3 linked regions of the Lepisosteus oculatus genome follow. The protein of the gene in region 2 purifies or fractionates together with the protein of the main gene of each other region. This does not show direct contact. Links are inferred from orthologs where the notes say so. Each region holds a gene or a part of one and is shown on either strand. Other genes may lie near its edges.

The links. Proteins that work in one complex are often made in the same cells at the same time.
Region 1: the proteins of armc8 (region 2) and E3 ubiquitin-protein transferase RMND5B purify together in Homo sapiens (affinity purification with mass spectrometry; 4 studies listed by BioGRID and IntAct, with this or other methods). This does not show direct contact. The link is inferred for Lepisosteus oculatus from reciprocal best matches to the Homo sapiens genes ARMC8 and RMND5B.
Region 3: the proteins of armc8 (region 2) and ranbp10 purify together in Homo sapiens (affinity purification with mass spectrometry; 5 studies listed by BioGRID and IntAct, with this or other methods). This does not show direct contact. The link is inferred for Lepisosteus oculatus from reciprocal best matches to the Homo sapiens genes ARMC8 and RANBP10.

The regions. Positions count from the first base shown.
Region 1 is NC_090706.1:38,806,859-38,814,507, reverse strand, and holds the start of E3 ubiquitin-protein transferase RMND5B, read left to right. Parts: upstream 1-4,634; 5' UTR 4,635-5,405; intron 5,406-5,502; exon of another isoform or gene 5,503-5,525; intron 5,526-5,563; exon of another isoform or gene 5,564-6,576; intron 6,577-7,600; 5' UTR 7,601-7,649. UniProt on the Homo sapiens protein: Core component of the CTLH E3 ubiquitin-protein ligase complex that selectively accepts ubiquitin from UBE2H and mediates ubiquitination and subsequent proteasomal degradation of the transcription factor HBP1.
Region 2 is NC_090707.1:7,393,382-7,401,096, forward strand, and holds the start of armc8 (armadillo repeat-containing protein 8), read left to right. Parts: upstream 1-4,711; 5' UTR 4,712-4,811; coding exon 4,812-4,856; intron 4,857-4,919; exon of another isoform or gene 4,920-4,938; intron 4,939-5,406; exon of another isoform or gene 5,407-5,421; coding exon of another isoform or gene 5,422-5,436; intron 5,437-7,715. Other genes in the region: dbr1 (lariat debranching enzyme), read right to left, coding at 768-992, 1,360-1,445, 1,738-1,818, 2,207-2,331, 2,878-3,074. UniProt on the Homo sapiens protein: Component of the CTLH E3 ubiquitin-protein ligase complex that selectively accepts ubiquitin from UBE2H and mediates ubiquitination and subsequent proteasomal degradation of the transcription factor HBP1.
Region 3 is NC_090715.1:3,934,863-3,942,743, reverse strand, and holds the start of ranbp10 (ran-binding protein 10), read left to right. Parts: upstream 1-4,866; 5' UTR 4,867-5,011; coding exon 5,012-5,210; intron 5,211-7,482; coding exon of another isoform or gene 7,483-7,691; exon of another isoform or gene 7,692-7,706; intron 7,707-7,881. Other genes in the region: tsnaxip1 (translin-associated factor X-interacting protein 1), read right to left, coding at 63-198, 1,205-1,401, 1,897-1,990, 2,233-2,359, 2,748-2,854, 3,502-3,601, 7,483-7,691. UniProt on the Homo sapiens protein: May act as an adapter protein to couple membrane receptors to intracellular signaling pathways.

The DNA.
Region 1 (7,649 bases), on a different chromosome or scaffold from region 2:
GGAGAGATGGGGGAGACTCCAGAGGAACGGGTTAGTACTGTATTTTGGTATATGCTGCTGGTCTATTGGAGGGTGGGCAGGGTGCCATTTTGGTTTTGTGCCTGTAAGCTCTACCCAACTGCTGAAGAGCTCAGAGCACCTGCCTGTGATCAGCTGGCCAAATGGAATTGACCTGAGGACTTGGAAGTGGTGCTGATGCCGTGGGAGACTATAGATAGATGAGCAGGGTATCTAAAAGCAGGCTAATCTACTGGTCCTCTTTGACTTCCACCAGGACAGAGCAGGACAAAGCGTAGAGGAGAAATGTGTGACAAGTACAGTTAAGGCAATATTATTCACTGCTCTTGGGAAGCCAGAATAGCCTTGTTTCATACGTGGGCCATCAGCATTCATACCTAGTATTGCTTAAAGGCTGATAGAAACGTTCGGACTCCGACACGGCACATAACCCTTAATTACTGATCACCCGAACCCTGCCATCTTAAAACCCTGAACTCCCTCTTGTCCCCCAGACAGGACAGAGGAAAGAGGAGCTGCAGGTCACTTCATTTCCGACCTGAAATAAGGTTCTGCTTCCCTGCCCCACCTGTGTGAAGTCATTGGGTTATAATCATTAGCGTAATGTCCAAGCAAAAAATAGACGTTCTGGTGCAGTTCCACAAATGGGATATACATTTTTTCATGAAAACAGGAAGGAACTAGCAAGGAAGGTTGTTGCGTTTTTTTGTTTTTTTTTGCAGTGCACAATGTGAAAAAAACAGGTTAAAGGGCTTTGGTTTTTCTCAAGGGTTAACTGTGCATAAAAGTACGTTTACTGTAAAAATACTGGTAGTTCCTCCCTGCCTGTGTTTGTGTGTGTGTGTGGGGGTGGTTCTAGCATCGCTATCTCAGCTTCCTTTGTTGCAGTCCCGCTATTTTTTTTTGCATGTTTTCACATTTTTCCCCAACATGGGGGTTGGAGGTCAGCTGAGTTGAGCTTAAAGAAAACACACATGCAGGCCTCTGTTTGTCCAAGGAACAGGTGTTTCCACGGAAACATGGGCAATAAATGACAAAGGAGAAGGGAGGGAGGTTCCTCTTTCTGCAGTCAAAATAAAGTGGCTCAGATAACCTAAGATAGCCTGCCTCTAGTTTTGCTATACAGTACATATTTAGCTGGCATACAGTCTATTTAATGCAAACAGTGTATCTGCAAGAATGTGTTTATACAGGGAGAAGTCACACGTTAATGAGTGAACAAGAGCCCTGCTGACCCCAGATAGCGTTACACTGGCAAAAAGAAGCATAAACCACAGACTCTCTCCCCAACAGGTTCATCTTTCTTTGTTACACAAGATATGAGGTACGAACTGTCGGAACCAAGACAGGTTAAAGGTTTGCCGTCTTCTGCAATGAAGGTCACGCGCTGTGGAAACATGAGGACCTGACACTTGATTGAGATCACAGAGTAGCTGCTTGCTGTTGGACATCCTTGTGTCACGTCCAAACTTCAGAGTTGTGCTGTGTTTGAATTTCTCCCTGGAGTGGGAGCTTGAATCGCATTCCCAAGCCAGCCTGAAGAAAAACAGAAAACGTTTTTAAAGGACTTGCCTTCTGTCTAAACTCAGTGCCCTTTTCCCCTGATGTCCCCTTACTGCATCGCGGCTTGTCACTGATTGATCCTCAGGAGTGCTCTTCAGCTGCTTGCTCCTGTTCTGGCTGAAACAGGGCTGTGGGGACGTGCAGATCCCTAGGGACAGCTGCGTGCCTGTATTTTTAACTGACATCTCCGTGATCCAGCCAGACCCTTCCTGTAACAGAGTAGCTGGATCTGGAGGTTAAAGTATCGGTTAGGCTACCAGTGGCCAGCCTAAAGACACTCCACTCCAGGAAGAGAATGTATGATCTAAATGCATGGGGTTGTTAGGGCACTGGTATCATCTGTGTGAAGCCAGATTCTCCTAAGACTTCCGTCGGTCCTTGGGTTAGACTCTCACTGTCAGTCAGGGCAGAGAGAAGCAGGCTCATCAGTTCTGGAGACCTCCAACGGAAACTAGGCCGTTGCTATTATAAATTGTGTTGGAGGACTAATCGGTGGCACTCTGACCTCTAACCCACACTTTGCGAAACAGCGCCCCAGTATGTTTACCGGGGGGCACTGTGCCGTAAGCGTTGCCATCATTTCCAACAGAAGTTAAAATGATATCTTGACTTCTTGGTCAATGAAGATGGCATGCCATTGTAAGGGTGTTAATGGTAGCATCCTGTCTAAATTCCACTCTGGGCTCGTGTGGTCCGGCGTTATTGTAGTTCCGTCTTTGTCCAGCTGGTGAAGCAGTTTCTCACTCCTCCCCCTGCTCTGCTGCTGAGCAGCGGGGCTGCTGGTGTTGAATGGCTGACCCACATCACCCAGGTGATGGTGAAGTGGGTCTTAGAGACCAAGACTACATCTCCCTCTTGTGGTAGACTTTGGTAATTACATCTGTGTCACACGAGTTTCTGTTGTTTCTCACTACCTCTAAATTTCCATTATTGTTGATAATTTAACTTGAGTTTCAGCTGTAAAAATAGCTTGGATCGCTTGCTTCCAGCTTGCATGTGCATGCTACTTGATGGTTTTAGAAATGGATAAGCCCATTATTTTTGGATCATTTGTTTGGATAGTGAGGTAAAAATAAACACTGTTCTCGGAAAATCTTGGACATCTTGCATTGTTCTGCTTGTTTCATTTGACGTTTTTCCTCCTATATTCAGAAACAACTCTATGGCAATTTTTATCTTGACATTGTAGCAGTCTGCATTTTGTTGTACAAAAAGAAAACTTTCAGCTTTGTGGAGGAGTAGAATGAAACAATTATGCAAATGATGAGGAACATTTGACAATAAGTCCACTGGGCCTGAGCGATGACTAAAATAATGACATTGGCAGTCCATGTGAAATTTACCTTGAGTTGTTATGATCAGGTTTTTTTTTTATTCCAAACAATGCGAAATAAAACATTTAAAAAAACTTATAATTACTTAAAAGCTGTTACAATAGTAGAAAACAATAGTGGAGTCATTGAGTTAACTTTTGGTGTACATAACGCTTATATATTGTAACCCTTAATCAAATCTAAGGTGTCCAAGACTTTTCCACGGAGCGGGATTTAAACCGTATATAGTTGACAGTAAATATATATACCTCAGTACTAGCATCCTACTCCCCATATCACGATCTTCATTCATCCAATTCTGACCCCCAAGCCCATCTACATACTACGGGCAACCTGGCTTCTCCTGCTGCACCCCAGAGCTCGGGAATTCAATCTATAAGGATATCAAAGAGTCACCTTCCCAGACCACTTTCAAATCCTGACTCAAAACCTTCTTCTTTAGGAGGGCTTTTATTCAACTGCTTCTCTCTGCCTCTTTGCTTTGCTATTGTATTCCAAAGCCTTTTTGTCATTGTGCCACTCTGCTGTCTCCTCTCATTGTGTGCTTTTTACTTTTTTCTAACTGTAAAGCACTTTGAGAATCCCCTTTTAAAGGTGCTATATAAAATAAAGTTTATTATTATACTTGCATGATATGGGCATAGAGTACACGTTTCTTTGCCCATGAAGAACTAGCAGGCCCTCACATGACGGAGAGCCAAAAGAAAGGATAAGTGCTGATCAAGGTGTTTATTTGCTAGAGGCCTCTAGTCCACTTCATAATGTCATGCATTAGAGGCCACATTTCAGCTGTGTGATCTGAAGGTTAGTTACAATGCCAAAGTCTCTTTGGGGAAAGAGGCTGCTACTACTCTCAGTCCAGATTAGCTGCTATTTTCTGCACTTTGTGGCTCAGGGTCCCTGCTTCACTGTGGCATCTGAAGTGATCCTTTGAGTTGGCTTTAAGCACAGAGTGGACAAATGAACAGAACTGCTTTCGGTTTTCCACAGAGAAAGTCGGGCAATGGGATGTACCCAGATTACTTTCCTTGTCCATCTCTGTTTGACATCCCATCAAGAATCTCTGATTCGAACTTCTTCCAGAGCAGGAAAGAGTTTTATTCAAAATACCTACATGAACTCGGGGAACGTGCAGACTCCACAAAGACACTCAAGACCAAAATTGACCCAGAAACCTGAAGGTGTGAAGCCATTATTCACCCTGCTTACCTTGTGTGTTGAAGCCTTTTCACATCACTGTCCTCGGATGAAATTTTATACTTAGATTATCCTAAAGCAGACCGGTGAGAAATAACCTTATGTTTTAATATTTACTGAACTTGCAAAAGCTTTACGTATGACAATCGTAATTTATGGAAATGCCTTTTATTCATTTATCAAATGAGATCATACATGGGGCTGCTTTCACAGACGTCAGGGTGGACGGGACGCCGTAGCTCTTAATCTGTGTTTCTGTCCAACATGAAAGAAGCTTTTTTAATTATTCAAAGTGTTTTTTTACAAATTGCACGGTTATTACTCAGGGATTTTCTCGCGGACAGTACGAAAGGGTTGTAATTCAGCATTCACCCATGGGAGGGAGCTCTGAACAAAAAAAAAACGATAACAGAGTGTACTATACACGGTCGTCGATGCTACCTTTTTTGTCAAAGACTAAAAATGAATAACGAATCGCACAAGCTACAGCTTATTAACAATTGACTGCATGTCCGCCTACAACTACATGCCCAATTTGCAAGCAAAGCATCTATCCAATAAATACTTATTTTAAAAAAGCAAGTCTACTTGGTTCCGAAGTGAAATCGCTCCTTCTGGTTCCGGTTATGAGCCCGGTAAAACGCACAGTTTTATTTATGTGCAGTATTAGCAAAGCGTCGCGCCGCCGGATTTCCTTCATCTTGTCTTCTGTCAAACTGAGGCCAAAACCACTTTCCCCCCAGCTGGAGAGGCGGGGGGGAGCTTCTCTGCTTGGTAAAATGGCTTTGTTTGATCTCTTAACCAAACGACACAAGTCGCACACCGTCGAGATTACTGCGACTGGTGTATAACTGAAATAAGCTGGTTTTTCCATCACGGGTTTTTTTTTTTCCCCGCTTTTGTTTTTTTTTTTGTCCCGATGCGGGGTTGGTCCCTCGCAGTTGGTATCGGCCGCCGAGTCTTGAACCACAGCCTGACGTACAGAGGAGGAGGAGGAGGCGGCGGCGGTGGCGGTGTTGTTGTAGGTTGTGAAGCGTCAGAAAGAAAGAAAATATCTTTAAAAAAAACGGGTATTTCTCAGGACAGCGGTAGCAGCGAAAAGAAAGAAGAAGAAAAAACCTTAACTCCTCGGGTGAGACGCGGAGCCCAGACGTGGAGGCTGTGAAACGACCGCTGGCTTGGGACTAAAAATGGCAGCGTCCAGTGCCCGGTCTGCAGTCTGTTTACACAGGAAGTGCTGTTAAAGGGGCAGCCGGCGGGGGAAGTCGGGGTGTCCGGCGCTCTGGGCCGCAGGTGAGCAGGTTTCCTGTCTGCTTTCGTGCCTGCCCCGGTGTCGGGGGTGCCTGGGTGCGCCAATCCGGCCGCTGTCAGGCCCCGGTGAGCTGGGCTGAGGGGTCGGTCCTCCTCCTATCGGTAGTTTATTTTTTTGTGTGTCTGTTTTCGTCTCCCGTCGACCCGGGATTACAAAACAAAACGCGTGTTTGTGTTTGTGTGTGTGTGTACGTGCGAGAGAGAGAGAGAGGAAGAGGGGGGTCTGAAACGCGTTGTTGACTTTTTTTCTTGTGTCTTTTGAGTCCCGCTCGTCTTCCTCGGGCCGGAAACGCGACCTGGAATGAAACGGGGTGGGAGTGGGAGTGGGAGTGGGAGTGGGGGGGTCCAGTGGGTACCCCCCACACGCTACCCACACAAGAGCAATAGAAACTGTGGTTCTTGTTGTAACCCCCTTCCTCATCGGGCTTGCCGGTGTGTCAGAAACCGCTCCTGGTTTCTGACCGGGGCTTGAAGACGGTGTCCTGTTAAAACAGGGTGGTGCTCTGATGGAGGCAGGGAGATCTGGCCTCCGGCTACAGTCCTTTGAACCCCCACCCGTTGTCCTCGCGTATTGCAATGCTGAGACCCCGGCTTGCAGACGCAGGCATGATCTCTCTCTCTCTCAACCCCCCCGCCCCAGCACAGTTCAGCTGTTTCACTGCGCTAGGATCTCGCTAATCCTCAACCGGACGGCGCAGTCGGGTCGTGTCGTGTCGTTCACCGCCGATCGAGCCCTCAACAGCAGTTATGCAGCGACGCCCAAAATAATCGATAACCTCTAGAGCAGTTGGCGCTTGGCCACCCCGGGCTGAGATGTAGGGGTCCCAGTGAAGTGCCCCCCCCCGATTTCGGTCGGTGGGATGTGCGATCAGGCTCTTGTCAAATAACTGTTTGTTGTGGAGACCGCTGTATCCTCCCGTTAAGCTAGCCGGGGGTCTCCGCTGAGAAACTGGGGCTGGACGGGTACCGGGCTCCCACGGTACGGGCGGTCGTGGGTTCAAATCCCAGCTGAGAGGCGCTGCTGTGTCCCTGCGCACCGCCTATCGTGTCGGATCGCCCTTTCTGTACCCGCAGAACTGGGCTTGCAGATCTCCCATCGCTTGGGTGAACAGCGGCGGCCAGACAAAGGAGTCGTTGTGGAGATGAGGCATCGGTAGGTTTGGCTCCGCGGCGTGAATCCGTTGCGATCGTGGTGGTTGCCGACTCCTTGGAGAGGACCGGAGCGGCAGAGTTGTGGTACTTTGTGTTCCTCGGTCTGTAAAAAAAACCATAATCCGCAAACCTCCTCGGTCTCCTTGGTCGTCAACAGCAGCAGCTGTTGTCTCCTTCCCCTCTGAAAGACAGATATTCCCTTCCGAAAGCGCAGAACGGTAAGGATTTGAGCTTTAAAAAGGGGAGGTTTTGTTTTGCGTTTTGCTGTTTCGCGTCGGGAGACGCGTCGCTGCCGTGCCGGCATGCGGGAGCCCTTCCCGAGCAAGTGGGTGTCATTCGTGGGAGATTGCAAGGCACGAACCAGCGTCAAATGTAGGTCATTTCAAATGAGATCACAGGCCGGAGCGTCGCAAACTAGGCGCTGGATGTTCCTGTGTTTTCAGGATGTATTTATTTGTTTGTTTTACTGGCGCGTCGTTGGCCCCGCTGTGAAGTTGTTCACTCAACACACCCCCTCCTCTCCTGTCTCTGGTGTTCTGCCCAGCAACACGCACCGCGACAGGACTCCCCTGCACACCAGCCAGAGAGAAGTTGCCCCCGGTGCACGTTTGTAAACACCGCTGACGCCGCACAGACTTGATGCCGCTTTAAGGCAGATCTTATGGCTCCTCTCCGGAGAGCCCCAGTCCGGCAGATCTTATGGCTCCTCTCCGGAGAGCCCCAGTCCGGCAGATCTTATGGCTCGCCACTGAACCATTTCTGAAGACAGTTGATGAGCACTTTCATGGGGAATCAATCAATCAATCAATCAATCAATCATTTTTGCTATAGCGCACCTCTTGACAGTCTGCTACAGAGCAGTACTCATCTGTTAACTGTCAAAGGGGAACTACGGCGCTATTTGTATATGTCGGGGTTGGAAAGAATCGGCACTGATGAGTGCATTTCAAAGCGCAATAAGAGTCAAATGCACGCTTGCAAAAACAACAACAACAACAACAGCAGCTCCAATCTCTATCTCGAAGCAGACACGACGGCCTGTAGCCCCTGTTCCTGCTCTGCCTGCTCCGGGCG
Region 2 (7,715 bases):
CAATACGCTACACGACGAGCCACCGCGCAGCCCCAGTATGGGGATTACTGAGGCCGCGAGACCGTCCCCCCGCTGCCCGTCTGTCAGGAGCGACCACCCTTCTGGGGACGTTTTCCCAGAGCTTGTCCCCACGCTGAGAGTGATGCACATCTTCTCCAGTACAGCTTGGGGCAGGCGGAGAACACACGCACGCACGCAGGCACGCAGGCACGCACGCACGCACACACTGCCCAGCCAGAGCCGAGGGCGATGCCCTGCTCCAGGTGCAAACCTGTAGCCCCTCTGCTCCCCGAAGCCTCGCTCACACCGGCTTGGCTGCCAGTAACTCACTGAAACCCAGCACCCCTTCCAGCCGAGTCCTACATGTCCTCAGGGATTTGGCTTCAAGGGCCTAGTTAGGGCAGCTTGTTGCCCACTCCCACCCCGCTCTGCGTAAAGAAGTGTGCTCCCTGTTCCCAAACGCAAATATAGACGTACTGAAATACACCTCCCCATAACTTCCACTGGTGCCCCTGTGCTGTGTTGCCATGTATTTGGGCAGACTCTGTCAACCTCTTCCAGGATTGTACCATGCTTGCTTGACGTTCCTCTGCTCCGTGAATCTCCTATGCAGGCGACTACAAAGACTGTAGCGCCTTAGTTTCCTGTGCAAGATGGTCCGAGAGGGGTCGCCTGGATCGACGCCCGGAGCAGGACAGAGCCACGGCGCCCGTGACCCTGCATGAAGGGAGTCACCCCCCGCCCCCCCCGCCCTGGCGTGCCCTGACCTGGTGCTGCATCAGAGCGGCGAACTTGACGTGCAGGTGCGCAGAGAACCAGTAGCTGGGCTGCAGCTGGGCCAGGAGCTCGGCCGCCGCGGGGCTCCCCAGCGAGTTCGACTTCACCTCCGACCGCAGGAACTTCTTCTTGCGCAGCAGCTGCTCGGTGCTGCCGTAGTGGTAGATGCCGCGCGGCCAGTCGTGGGACAGGAAGATGTCGATGGGCCCCCGGATCTGCAGCAGAGTTCACGGGAAAGAGAGCGCAGAGGGTAAGCACGCCCTCCTGCTGGTGGGAGAGGCCGGAGGTTTGTTCGCACCCCTGTTCGCGAGCCGGCAGAAAGGCTGAGGGAGACGCTACAGGGGGGTGTAATGGGGTGAGGCAGGTCACCCGATGGGGGTGCATGAGTTTAAAAGAGTGAAGCCCCCCTCCCTCCCACCCACCCCCGTCTGATGTCTGGTGCCTTTTCCAGCACGTGCTGGCCCAGCCATGCAGCTAACAAAGCAGGAGCAGCAATCAGCTCCCCACAGTTCACCCCCCTCCAGCCTGCTGGGGCTCGGCTCGGCTGAGCTCGGCTCAGAAAGGCTGCCCCAGCCCAGGCACCTGTTTGAGCTTGAAGACTTCGATATTTCGGACGTGGTAGGCGCTGCGCAGAGTCTGCTGGTTGTATGGTGGGAACTCGTAGTGACCTGCAACACAAAGAGGCACGGAGTTGTTAAAGCCCAGAAGTCTGGCTTCTTTCGAGAAACATCTGGAGGAGAGCTTCAGATCAATAAGCTACTAATGACCAAAACGAGCCGGAGGAGTCGAATAGCCCTCTCCGATTTGTGACACAACCCAGAACCCTGGCACAGCTCAGACAGCACATGGGGTGGGGTGTCAGATTGAAACTTCCCGGATGAAGGACCGAATCAACTCCATTTCCTTCCGTGAGATGGGCTCTACTGGGAAAGCCCCCGGTAGCAGGTGGGGAGGGCTCACCTTTCCGGTAGTCGTGCGACTTGAAGATTCCCGACAGCCCCCCGATCCGAAGCCCTCTGTACTGGACCACTCCTGCGTAGCCTGTGGATAGAGGGGAGTCGATCAGCCACCACGCACCATCAGGCACCTGGGCTTCCACACCCAATCTGGGCTTTCACGACACGCAGATCAGGACCCCCGTGACAAATTCAGAGTGCAAGAGACAAAGAGACACAGTCGCACAGTAACACTGAAGCTGTGTGTAACAGCCCTGGAAGATACAGTGCAAGCCGGTCAGCACAGTACAGGTGCTTTAACAGACCACAGTCCAAACCCCACAGTGATAAATGCGTAATAACACTGGTAGATGCAGATCCTTCAGCCACAGCGGTTTAACAGTGCAGACGCCCCAGTGGTATTAACACAGTGCAGTGCAGGGGGGGTGTGGCAGCCCATGTGCAGTGTGCCACGAAACACAGCCCAGACTTGCCTAGATAATAGATGTTGGGGGCCACCCAGCCCCCGTACGGCAGCTCCTGCAGGTGATTGGAGGCCTCGTGGTTCCCCCCGATGAAGATGGTGAGGATGGGGGCTTTCTTCTCTCCGGAGTAATACCTGAGAGACAGGGAGAGAGGCGCAGCAAGGAGAAAGAGTCCCGTTACAAATCTCATCGCCTTCTGGATCCATCCCTGCCTTCCACTCGGTATCCTACAGAATGATCTCCTTATTAATATCCCTACACTTCTATAGCGCTTTTCTGGACACTGCACTCAAAGTGCTTCACAGGTAATGGGGATCCCCTCCACCCCCACCAGTGTGCAGCCCCACCTGGATGATGCGCCAGTACTCTCCTCACACACCAGCTCTCAGTGGGGAGGAGAGCAGAGTGATGAAGCCAGCTCAGAGACGGGGATTATGAGGAGGCCATGATGGGTAAAGACCAGGGGGAAATTTGGCCAGGACACCGGGGTTACTCCCCTACTCTTTTCGAGCAACACCCTGGGATTTTTAATGACCACAGAGAGTCAGGAGCTCAGTTTCATGTTCCAGGGAGTGCAAGATGAATGCAGCATCTGTCTTGCCTTGCTGCCTGGGTCTAGACACACACACACACACACACACACTACAGCACGTTGGCAAGCATGCATGAGGGGGGCTGACCTGTAGAAGCCCTCCATGTTCCTGTACTTGGGGGGCACAGCCATGCACTTCAGGTCCCCCTGATTGCGCACGGCCTGGAAGTCCCCGCAGCAGAGCAGCAGGTCCACCGTCACCCCCTCACGGCGCTCCAGGTAGCCGATGGTCTCGTAGATCTTATCCAGCTCTCCATGGCAACAGCCTTCCACGGCGATCTTCATCGCGCGGGCCGGGGCCGCGTCGCGCTCCCCGACACAGGCAAGCTCACTCTCTCTCTCTCCCCGGCGCCGTCAGCCCCGCATCGGAAAGCACCCCCGCGGCCAGCGAGCGGTCTTCCCGGGCACGGCGAGGACACAGGGCCGCCCTCGGCGCTGCGGGAGCGCAGGGGAGGGACGACAGGGGGAGGCCGCCGGCCTGCTCTAAACCTCGTCTTCACAAGAAAACCAGAAAGAGAAAAAAAAATCACTTTTCCACGTCAAGAGTCGAGTTCCTCTGAGATTTAATTTCTGCATCACGCTGATAGAAACACTGGAGCTGGCATTCGCCACCTACGGTATCCAGTACGTGAAGTCTCGTATATACTGTATAGATATGCCGTCCCCAACTCCCAAATAAGTTGTCTACATTCGACATAGCCTTTTTTTCCCCCTTTTTGGGTGCATCCTCGTGGCCTGTGTGCAAACAGCACTTCACCCTTCAGAGGAACCAGCTCCTAGCCCACATGACGTGTTCGCTGCTCGACACGGTACCCCTTCAAACAGCGCGCTTCTCCCGGCCGGAGAGCCGCTGTCACTCTGTCGCACACGCCTTCACGATTCCGGGGCGAAAAGCGTGCTAAACCGAAGCCCCGTCAAGTTGACTCAATCGGCAATCGCTGGTAAACAGAAGATGTGGTCAAACGTCATAACATTCAATTCACACGAGGGCTGATATAGCCGATTCCTCTTAACGCTGCGATCTACCGACACTGTTAACACACTGCACTGAAGCTGCCGGCGGTGCGCACCTGGGCCCCTCTCAGGGCGCCCTCACACAACCCGCACCCACCTGGTGTAGGATCAGCGCTGAGGCAGCCGCCAAACCGGACTTCAGATACGTCCAGCCGGTCAGGAATCCCCCGCCACACAAAATAATAGCACCTCAGACCCGAAGCTCCCAGCCGCTACGCACTCAAAACATTCGCACATGCGCCCTGAGAGCGGCCCGCTGGTGGAGTAAATATATCCACCGTATCCGAAGGTTGCACTTTCCACACTGCTGCCTCCCGGAGGGACTGTACCGTAGACTGTTCCTTAGTTTGAAAGGGTAGAGTAATCGTCCGGTAGGTCTGCTATGTCGTGACCGCTCTGACAGATTACATTAATATCAATAGCTGAGCCAATCTGGTCCTGATTCAAAACGCTGCTACTATACTACTAATAAGGAGGCATTATTGTGATTAAGGGCACATGCATTATACTCTTGGTTTCTAAATGACCTGAGAACACAATAACCATTTATGTCAAAGAAACAAAATGGTATTGACAACGCTTGTAAGAATTAAAAAACGTAAAATTAATCAATTAGTAAATCTGTATTTTTCTTCGAAATAAATACCTGTTCTCATCTCTCTGACCTTGATTGGGATTTCTCGCTGATTAACTAGTTCGAGACTCCGCAGTGTGGAATCCGACAAAGCGAAACGCAAATTCAACTGCGCTTCTCTGGAAAAAAAAACACAAACTAATTCCTCCTTAATCTACAATTTAACTTTCGATAATCGCAACGAGCAGGGAGGGTTTTCGATTTAAAAAAAAAACGGGGACCCGAGACATGGTCTCGACGGGTAGTTAACCCCCTTTCTGCCCCCTGCGTACTCCCCCCTACCCTCGCCCTGAACTGGAAGCGCTTTTTTTTCCGGGAGGCCCAGCGTGTGGAAAGTGCTGCTCCGGTTGGGGCGCTCGTCAGGGGGAAGAGATATGGCGTGCCTGCTGGAGGCCCCTCTCCGTATCAGCGTGCTGTCCGTGAGTCTTACCCTCCGCCACTCTCTCTAGAAACGCGGCCCACCTGCAGCCGGACCGAGCCGTCCTCCGGCCGCCCCCGTCGGTGTGAGCCGGGGGCCACAGTTACAGTTAGACCTGGGTACCGGGCAGGGGAGGGGGGGTACGTTTATCGTGGTTATTTATGAGGTCCAAAACAGGTCGGTCATGTCTGTCATGATCCTCCGCCACAAACCCGAGTGCGGTGCCTGTCGTGGATGAAGCCTGATGGGTGTTTTATGGGCATAGGTGATGCCAGTCAGAAACAAACGGAACTTATGCTCCAACCGCCTGCTGTACGGATAGTTGCTGTCTCTTGGCTATGTCTCTGTCTCCTGCGGTGTGTCAATAGTGTCTAGGCAGGCGGCTGAAACGGGTGACGCCCACTTTTTGACAAGTCTGGAGCGGATCAGGAGTCGGGGTCCAGGCGCTGTGTGAGCTCAGCACTGGGACCTGATGGATGTTTCCCGCTGTTTGGGGAACTTTTATTTAAAAAAAAAAAAGGCTGGAGCAGGCGGGACACCGGCCAGCGTGAAACACCTGCGCAGCCATGCAGCCGGCACCGGTACAGGTACCGGTCTGAACGGACGTGAGAAAGAGAGCGGTCTAGCGCCTACTGCCTTTGCCAAGTGTGTTCAGGAGTCGGGCTGTAGCCCTGCTGGCGATCGCTGGAGCGTGTGTTGTAAGAGATCCTTACTGCCAAGGAGCAGCGATCGAGCGGAGTCAAAGTACCGAAGCGGACTCTGCTGGGGGCGGTACAGTTGTTACCGTTCTCACAGCAGCGACGACTGAACGCCGGTAGTTATGATTTATAACAGGTCGTTCTGAGCGAGAGCAAAGTTTGTCTGTGTGCGGTCTTGCTGAAATAATCAATATGAACGATTTAAAATCAATCACCCGAGCACGCTCAGCGTTAGTGTAGCGCTAGCAGTAGCGCAGGTGGAGCAGTGTGGTTTCGGGGCTCCGGTGAAGTCGCTGCCGAGCGAGGGCAAGGTGAGGCGGCGGGGCTGGCCGGCCTCGCTGTGAGGGACGGTGACCGCTCTGCTCTGCTGTGGGTCCCGGTCCTAGTACTGGAGTGCCTCGGTGCTCTGCTGGTTTTTGACCCAGCTGGGCCTTTCATCACCAGTGCTAAACTGTTGCGCTTGCTGGATTAGTTTTCTGTTCCGGACGTCACCAGCTACACAAGCGCAACCTCAGCACCCGGGCCTTCGGGCAGTCCGATCCCGATGTGCTAACTTATACATTGCTCATTTATTTCTGACTAAACTATTAATAGTTCATCACTTGATGATAGACGGACACCCCCCCCTCCAGTCAGTCAGTGTTTTTCCTTCTGTTTAAGTCCACTTGGTCCTGGTTCAGCTCACACAGTCCTGAAACCCAAATTCCATCAGCGTTCAGGACAATTACAGCTTTTTAAGAGCTGAAGACAAATTTGGCAAAGAGGCCTCAAACAGGAACTTGAAACGCACGAGCCTGTGAATAGGAGCGCAGGGCATCGACAGGCACAGGCCCTGCCCCAGAACAGCCTGTCTTCCAGCTGCTCGCTCCTGGTGAAATCGAGGTCTGGATGCAGAAAAAAAGTTGACTTAGACGATCAATGACTGGTAGCGGTTAGCCCTAGTAATGAACGGCCCGTTGGAACGAGAATCAGCAGACGCAGGGGTCCCCCAGAGTCCTCGGGCAGCGACCAGCGCGGGGTTGCGGGGCTCCTGGAGCTTTTCTGTCTGTAAACCAGTCTCATTTCAGTTCGCAAGTTGTGTGATTCGTGGTTGGGACTTTGCCCCCCCCGGCATCGTAGCTATAATCCTATGAGCAGCTTTGCGTGTTGCGGAGCCTGATAAGGGGTGAGGGTAGCGGTTTCTGTCGTCAGTCTTTGCTCACCGAGCGCTGGGTGGGAAAGCTTGTGCGCGCTGCTTTGTCTGAGGGGCCGGTGAAGCAGGATCGATAAGGGAGCCTAGAAGGTGCTCGCAGGAGTTTAAAATGTCTTTGAAAATGGGGAAAAAATATCTATATTTGGCATGCGATGAGTGATTGTGCTTTGTGTACGTGTCCCAGCTGTTGCTTGCAATGTCAGCTTTATGGGAGTGGCCATGTGTTTAACTGGGAGCAGTCGGGGGTCCGTCCTCATTTCCCCTCCACTGGGATTCCCGGGACAGCTCCTTGTTATCCGCAGTGGAAACGAGACCAAGCCGCCCCCTGCTCCTGGCCGGCCGCTGGCGCTCGCTCCCGGTGAACGTCTCCATGAGACTCGAGGCTCCGAGGAGGGCGAGACGCCGTGAGCCTCCCTCAGTCTTCCTGCCCTTCAGCGTGGAGTCAGCTCCGCTCGTGCTGGGCTGACCCTGGGTGTGAGCAGGGCTGCGGAGCCCAGTAAGGGACAGGTGCACACTGCTGTGCTTTGTTGGGGTGCTCCAGCCAGGCTCCCCGAGAGAGTCCCGGGGTGCTCTGTGCTCTTGCAGTGGCTGCTCCCCGTGTAGCGCGGCGGTGTGCTGAAACCCTCCGCGGAGCGCCCCAGCGCATCTTTGAGGCAGCGGTTGTAACCGAGTTGGTGTTTCAGCTGGAATTCCTGTTTAGTTGACAGCACGTGGTGGGCTCCTGCGCTATAGTGAGACTTGGAATATGTAAGGCTCCCCTTTGGTTTAATCCCTTAATTGCTTAGTTTGCAGAAAGCTTCATGTTAAGGCGTAGCCAGTTCTGGGGTAAAGGTCTGCCTTACAGCCGTGCTGTACTTTGACTCGGTAGTATTTTCTGTTTCTCATCATGGGATCTGTAATCAAGTCATCATCTCTAAGACTTTAAGGCTTGGCTAGAGGGCAGCCTCACTGCGGTGATTTAATGCGTCCT
Region 3 (7,881 bases), on a different chromosome or scaffold from region 2:
CTGCCCCGGTGCTCTGGGGAACTGAAAGAAGCAGAGATGATGCGGGCTCCTGAACTAAGTACCTTCTTGCTCAGGGCTCTTGTGCTCTTCTTGCAGGTACCTCATGTTGCTGATGTCGTTCACCAGGAGCTTGCGGGCATCACTCTCCTCCCGATACAGCAGGTACTGAGCTGCCAGGTCCTCCTGCAGCCGGGACACCTGTACAGAAAGGGAGTGAAGCTGACTCGGAAGTGTAAGCAGGGTCGGGCATTTATCATGCCTTCAAGAAACTGACACCCAGAAGTACGTTTACAAAACTTAAGGCAGCAAAAGAAGCTTATTGCTTCTTCCACAAATTGCTAAATTGTTTAAAAGTGTTATATTCAGAAATATTGCTTGTGAAATGCGTTACAATATTGTATATTAAATAATACAGAAAAGCAGAAAGCTGGGGTAAATCATATAGGTTTGGGTGAATGAAAAAGTGCAGCTAACCTTACATTAGCTGACTAATCTAACCCATATCAATTTGGGCACTGTAATCCAAAAGGCGAGCCATATCTGCAGCTTTAGGCTGTTTTCAGATAAAACTCATCAGTAAAGCTGTTCATGATCAAGCCCTTGTGCAGTAGGCTCATTCTCTCTTCTGTGTCCACATTGAAAAGCAATCCATAAATTTGTGATGCCTCCTTAAAAGCGGGCCTTGTTTGTGTAATCTCTAATGTGAGTCCCTCTAAATAAATGGCTGAAGCACCTCCACAGGATTCCTAGCGTTAATATTATAAATACATAAGCCAGTCCTGAAATCCAAAGGCACAGACTGACTGCCTTAGGGCTGGAACACACAAACACACTTGCGCACAGCAAGAGCAAAACCAGAAAACATTTAGAGTAGATACTACTTTGGTATGTCTAAAATGAACATTTTAGATCTTCTGTGTCACTTGCACAGCCTATCATACTAATTTTGATTTTTAAAAGTCTGATAGACATTTGATGCAAACAATGTTTAAACATGCAAAACTGAAATCTGAAAAGGTGATTCCATTACCTGATGTCTGGGTATGAGGCTGCTGGAAAATACAATTAAATCATTTTTTTACTTCATATATTTTATATTACTTACATAAACAGAGATGATAAATATATAGTTTTTTATTTATTCCACATAATATGTGTACCACAATATCTCCCTATCTCTGCACACCCAGAGCCTTTTTTTTACCTGTGCTTGTAGTGCGTTCTTGCTCTCATTCATATTGTCGATGATCATCAGCAAATGTCTCTTCTCCTGTTTGAGGGCCTTGACCTCCGCTCTCTCCTCCTCACGCAGGGCTAGGACCCGCTGGTCACACTGCTCTGACACCACCACCAGCATCCCCTTCAGGGGCTCCAGGGTACGGATCTGCTCTCTCAGATGGGCTGGGGTTAGCACACAGCAAGATCACTCTATCTCTTCCCCAGTCATTTGTATTTCATTATTTGCTTCTCATGTTTTTTGTTGAAAAAAAAAAACATGCATAAGTAGAAACGAAGTGTTCCACTAGTACGTTCTGGAAATTGGCCATTACTTCATGGATCTTTTCTGTTGTTTCATACAGGTGTAGCGCCATTCTAAACTGGACTCCCACCAGTGCGTCTGTCTACTTTCCTGATTGTGTGATCTTTCATGCTGGAGTCTTCCTGGGCATGCAAAGAAATACAAGGCCATGCTTTCAGGAAACAGATTTGGTAAACAAAGAGGATCTGAAGTTCATATTTGAAATTAACACCAGAAAAAAAAGACAAAAAATGTGATTGCACCACCACAACTAAATGCACTGCAAAAGTTCATGTAGCTGTAACAATAAAAAGGGCATTATTTATTATATCAATAACTGTTACTATATGTGCTGAAATACTGCAGCTGTTACATACCTAATGCAATCTCATATTCATTCTTGATGGCAGAAAGCAGTGGCTTGTAAGTTTTTAAATCTTCGATGAAATACTGAAACACTTCCTGGTATGCCTGTATAGTAAACAGAAACAGAACTCAACGGTAGATTCTCCTGAGCCCTGCAGGGGTGCTGCTCAGGGGGCAGGGGGCATAGTGTGAGGGCTGCTGTTGCAAGGAGCCGAGAGTCCGGGAGAGGATTTAGGGATCAGAGTTCAAGGAAAGGTGCAGATGATGTTATTTACTCAGGGGCCCCCGCGGACACTGCCAGGGCTATATAACGTGGACAATGGGAGAGCGTTCCTGTGGGTGCCGACCTGCAGCCTGCGCTCCGGTGCGTCGAGCTGGCTGGAGTCCAGCGCCTGCAGCTCCCTCCGCAAGTAGCTCTCCAGCTGTTCCAGGAAACGTGGCTTGGAGACCAAACCCGAGAGCTCCTCGCCACATCTGCACACAGGCAGGACAGACAGAAAACAACAGAATTCTCGAGGCGATTCCCAGACCACTCCATTGGCATTTACATCTGGAATTCTGCCCAGACTTTACTGAATCCCACGGACATCCGTCCATCTGTGGGAGACGATGGAAATGCAGGGGCCATAGGGAAGTCTGAGATCTTTGGACACATTTATTACTGTTGAATCCAGTGTCCTTAAGAAAATCAGCCACTTCTGGTGAATTGTACACTCTGTACAACACTATTATTAAAAACAGTTTCATTATACAGAAAAATCAGACCAAAAACCCAGAACAGTCTCACGCCCCCTTGATTGAGAGAGACTCTTAGATGAAACTGGGAAGCTGGGAGAGTCTGGAGGAAATAAAATCTGCTCACCCACGAATTCTGTTCTCACTGCCGGGTGGCTGTCTGTGTCCTTGGTGGACTATCTGTGAGGACACGTGGGCAGGCCATGTGGAGAGGAAGCCAGTGGCTGGAGAATGCTGGAGAATTAGAGAACAGGATCATTTATTACACAACTTGACAGCACACAAAAAAATCAAGGACATACAGTATACGTAAACTTACTAATCAATACTCCATTTCTAGTAATGTTAATTACTTTGTATGATACTGTTTTGGATGTTGTTTACCATTCCAATGGTATTGTTAACACTTATTCAGCAATTGTAACAATTTTGTTAATTATTTTCAAAAAAACGTACTTAATAGAGTTTAAATAAATGAACTGTAAGAATATGCATTGCATTCGTCACATTCATTTTTTTCATTTCAGATTCAGAAATACATAAGTGCAACATACCAAAGCATATAGTCTATAAAATTGCATAATTAAGATTCCAATCACTTCAATTTTGCCCTTTTTCATCTGGCCTTAGAAATAGCAGCAGCAAGAGTAGTGGTACAGGAGCAGTAGTACATTAGCAACAGCAGCAGTGAGACTAGTGATTTACTAGTAGAGTAGCAGTAATGTAGTAGCTGTAGATGTAGTACAAGTAGCTGTAGAATAGTAACCGCAGTAGTAAGAGCAGTAGTACTGGTTGTACAGTAGTATTAGTAGTAAAAACAGCAAGAGAGTGGCTACAAAAGCAGTAAGTGTTGTAGTATCAGTACTACTAGTGTTACTCACGTGTGCTGTCTTCAGGGTGAAAAGGCTTCCGATCTCATCGCTTTGCTGTCGGCTCTTCCTGACAGGCTTCTCGCTCCCTCCAGGACAGTTTACAGGCAATCTATAAAACAACGAGGTCGTGATCTCCCAAGACTAGCCTTTAAATAGCAGGCTTTCTATTGGTGGTGTATTTACTCTGTCGCTGTCCCCATACATGCCGTCATTTTCTCAAGTCAGGAAAGACAGAACTCAGTTATCTGAAATGTATCTTATTGTTCATATTCAGTAAAATCATTGTGCGCTTTACTGAGATAGAGATGTACTTGTAAAGAAAAATAGAAACCACGCAATACGTTACTTGTTAGCCATTGCGGTCTGCTGCATACTGCAGGTTCATTTGGAAAATATATATATATATTAGAAACTGTATTTAACTGTAACTGTATTTTTCAAAACTGACCCTTGTCTTTCTGACACAGGCAAAGGAGGCAACTTGCAGTCTTTCTGCACCGACATGCCGAACATGAGATTAATCCCTGTATCGCCGGCTGGGATAGTCCTGACCCACTGGCGCTCTCTGTGTACACTGCGTTGCCTTGGAGACGAAGGACCCCTCCCGGCAGGACCTTAAAGGGATGTCCTCAGCAAAGCAAATAAACAAATATGTGTTTCCTAATTTTTCCTGCTATAGATCCAAAAGTTTGGACATTAAAACACAGTTATTATTATTTAAAAGCTGTTTATCTCCGTACAGTCGTGGTTTTAGATTTAAATACCGTTATGTCCCTAGTACAAGATTTGGTTTACGTAATTTAAAGGGAAATTAAAGAATGTGGTCGTTTTTGAATATATATTTTTGGAAGTTGCAAACAGTTTAAAAAAATCAAAGCACCACACGTCTTTAGAAACATTTGTAAAACGTAAAGCCCTCCGTCTGCACTGAATTAATACATAGCAGTAACGAGCATTTTTTTCACTTTTATCGGGTCAAATATTCTAGTTACGTGTAAAAAACATCCCAATCTGTTGCTTGAAAAATGTTCAAAACACTCCAGCTCATGTGGCGTTGATCCTGGTATATGTAGTTCTTTATTAAGGAACGCAATCACTCGATAAAGAAATGCCAGCCTTTAAAAAACTACATTTCCCGAGAACCCTATGAGCTGCTACAGGGGCTTGTGGGGTTTGTAGGAAAATCTGAAGAACGATCTCGTTCAACCAGTTTGGAATCCGCAAGTCTGTAGAACTACAGTTTTTCCTCCTCCTCACGCGTGAAGTCCACGGGTGCACTCCCGCAGGTATTTGTGGGAGTTGTAGTCATTATCGAACTTTGTGCTCGTCGATACCCGTCGTACAAGACGATCTCCCGAACTACAACTCCCTAGCACACCGCCGATAGCCCGATTCTAGAGCGTTGGTTATCCGGGGATATCGCACCGCTGTCTCTAGTCTATTTCACTCTCTCCCTCTTCCTCCGGATTGACACAATACAGTAGAAAAAAAGCAAAACAAAACATTAAAAGCCAAAAAAATGGCGGAGCTCGGAGCGGGGAGCTTGCAAGGGGGGGACCCTGCTTTCAGCTACCAGGAGCGAGAGCTCAACGAGCGACTGAAGCAGCTTTACCCGGCCGTGAATGAGGAAGAGACTCCTTTACCTCGATCTTGGAGCTCCAAGGATAAATACAGCTACATCGGGCTCTCACAGAACAATCTCCGGGTGCATTACAAAGGTAGAGACATGCCGAAATGCTAGCACTGGCCTTCTTAATCCGGGCCAGCACTCTCCCGAAGGCTCGCTGAGCCGTTGTCTACTGTATGCGATTATGCGGACGCAGTCTCCCTGGTCTGTTTTGATCTGTTTTCTGTGCCCTCTCCGTTTTGTCTCACAAAAAGAAATCCCCGAAGCGCTGACAGTTAATGATGACAGTGTCTGGGGTTCCTCGGGTTAGAAGACCCTCGCCCTGGCCGAGCTGCCCCCGATTTCGTTTTTGCTCATAACGACCAGATAAGATGCTGGGCAGCGACTCGTCTCAGCCTTGCAGCTGAACTGTGTCGGGTGCCGTTTTTATTTTATTCTTCGTGGTGCTAATGTCCTACGCTTCTGCCCACCCCTCCCACTTTTTGTTACAAATCCCCGAATTTTAATAAGGTCCAAGAAGCAAGGGGGGTGACCCGAGAAATCCCCCCCCCCTCAATCTTTCCCTGCCCTCTTAGAAAATAATTGCATTAAACGGAAAAGAATGACATCACTTGCCGTGACTGTCAGCAGTTTGCGATACTGATTATGAGCCAGTTTTAGGAAATATGGACGCAGGGTAGGTGTCAGTTACCCAGGGCAGGTAGCTGTATTCTGCTCCACTGGCACAGTGATATAGATGCCAACTCTGGCCACTTAAATGGACGAGGCACCTACCAAAGACGACACAGGAATCCGCAATGATCTGGTATTCCTTTTTGCGAGATTATTGCGGATTCCGTGAGCCGTGTGGTGAGCGACGAGGACCGAAAAAGAGATCAGCTCGTTGTTGAATTCGGGCCTTGAATTACAATGAATTAACCCTTTCCGCCCCGAGAGCGGAAACAGGATGTGTTTATTGTGAAAGAAGGGCTCGGTCTCGTCCTCCTGGTTCTAGTGGGGTCCGGGCCGTGGTTGTGTCTCTGAACCACGGCTCCCCCAGGGTTTTGAAAAAGGAGTGGCAGACCTGTTGTGTGGAGTTTTTCTGTCAAAGGGCAGGTTTAGTAAAATGAATAAGCAAATGACACGCCACCAAAGATATGCTTCTTCAGAAATCTGGTTAGCAGTGAGGGCTTTACCAGACATAGCTATCGGTCCTATGTGTACCCCCAGAGTTCTCTGAATCACCCCCCTTTTTTTTGAGCAGTTGTGGATTTAGAATCACGGGGTTCTCTTCAGTGTGGATCCTGATGAGAGCAGCCGTGTGGGTACCATGCACAAGAATTATTAGGTTTCCATTCTAGTGAGGATTGATTTCAATGTATCGGACTGGGCTGGGGGAAATGGAGAGATCGTGGTCGACTGATTGAAATTGCTTTATTTGAAATTGATTGAAATCCAAAATGAAAACACTTTGCTCAAACAGAATGATGACTGATCCAACCACGGTTGCTTCTGGTAACGTTAGGTGCCCCCTGTTGCTATGGGTTATAATTTCACAAAGCTCCTGACATTGGAATGAAACTGACTCCTGCTGTCAATTAGATCTCGTGTCCCACATGGGCTGTGTTCTGTATTGCCTGTGGAATACCATCAGTTCCCTGCAAATTCGTCTGATGTGTTCTTTTAAAAGACCAAATTGTATTCAGCCAACAGAGCTTAGGCAATGTAGACTAAGGGTTTTTTTTTGTTTCAAGGACAGAGCAAAGTTTCTAGACGGCATGTTTTGTTTGGAAGGAGTGATTTGTAAGATCTGTAATGAGGGTCTTGGCCGAGACAGATCAGAGTCAGAGAGGTGTACGGTAAGTCAACACTGAACTCAGTGAAGGCCCTGGCTGTGAGCCGGGGGGCCTTTCTGAAATGAGCTTTTTTTTTTTTGCCTGAGTGGAAGAATCAGTGTTCACAGTGCAAAGGTCCAGTGAGAGAATGAGGATATTTTTCCTAATTATACAGAAACTGGGGGGGGGAAAGACACTTTAACTGGAATAATTGCAGTTAAACTTATTTATTTAGAATGGGGGAAGTCAGTTTTCCGAAACTTAGAGGTGTCATTTTAGCTCAACACCTTCAATGAAATATTTACCCCAATGTGGAACCTGCAGCTGTAGTCTGAACACTTGTACAATTGTATTAGACTGCGGGGTGAACAGGGGTGGAAATAGTAGTATGACACAGAATTACTCCATCAGCCGCAGCCCTGCGTTCAGATTAGGCAACCTATAAATAGCTCTGCTTTATATTTAAAAAAGAATCCAGAGAACATGCATGCACCATTTTGAAACCTGTGAACAGAGTGTGATCGCTGGCATCATGAAGTCATTGCTCACCCATCTGCAAGATGGTCGTCTCCCCTCTCGGTGCAGAGGGGCGCCGGGAGGTCGCAGGCCTGGGCCCCCGGAGGCCCCGCGGGCCTGGCAGGCAGGCCAGCCCCACGGCACTTGTCTCCTGCCGGGCCGCTGCTCCGAAGTGGCCGCGTGACATTGATATGCACATGAGCTCGTCTTAAAGGGACGGCTCCCCCTTCGTTCCCCTCCATTGTGAGGAGCTGTGGAAAAAGCGGCACTACCTGGCTTCGTGCCGCTTCAGAGGAGAGGAGTCACTCGCTGATGGTGGGTGCTCTTCCTCAAGTTGGCTTTTTTGCCATTAAGCAATGTGGGGGTACGACGTGGTCGCTGTTTTTATTTCCCTTCAAACTGCTAAGCTTTCTTGTGTTTTCTGTTTCCCCT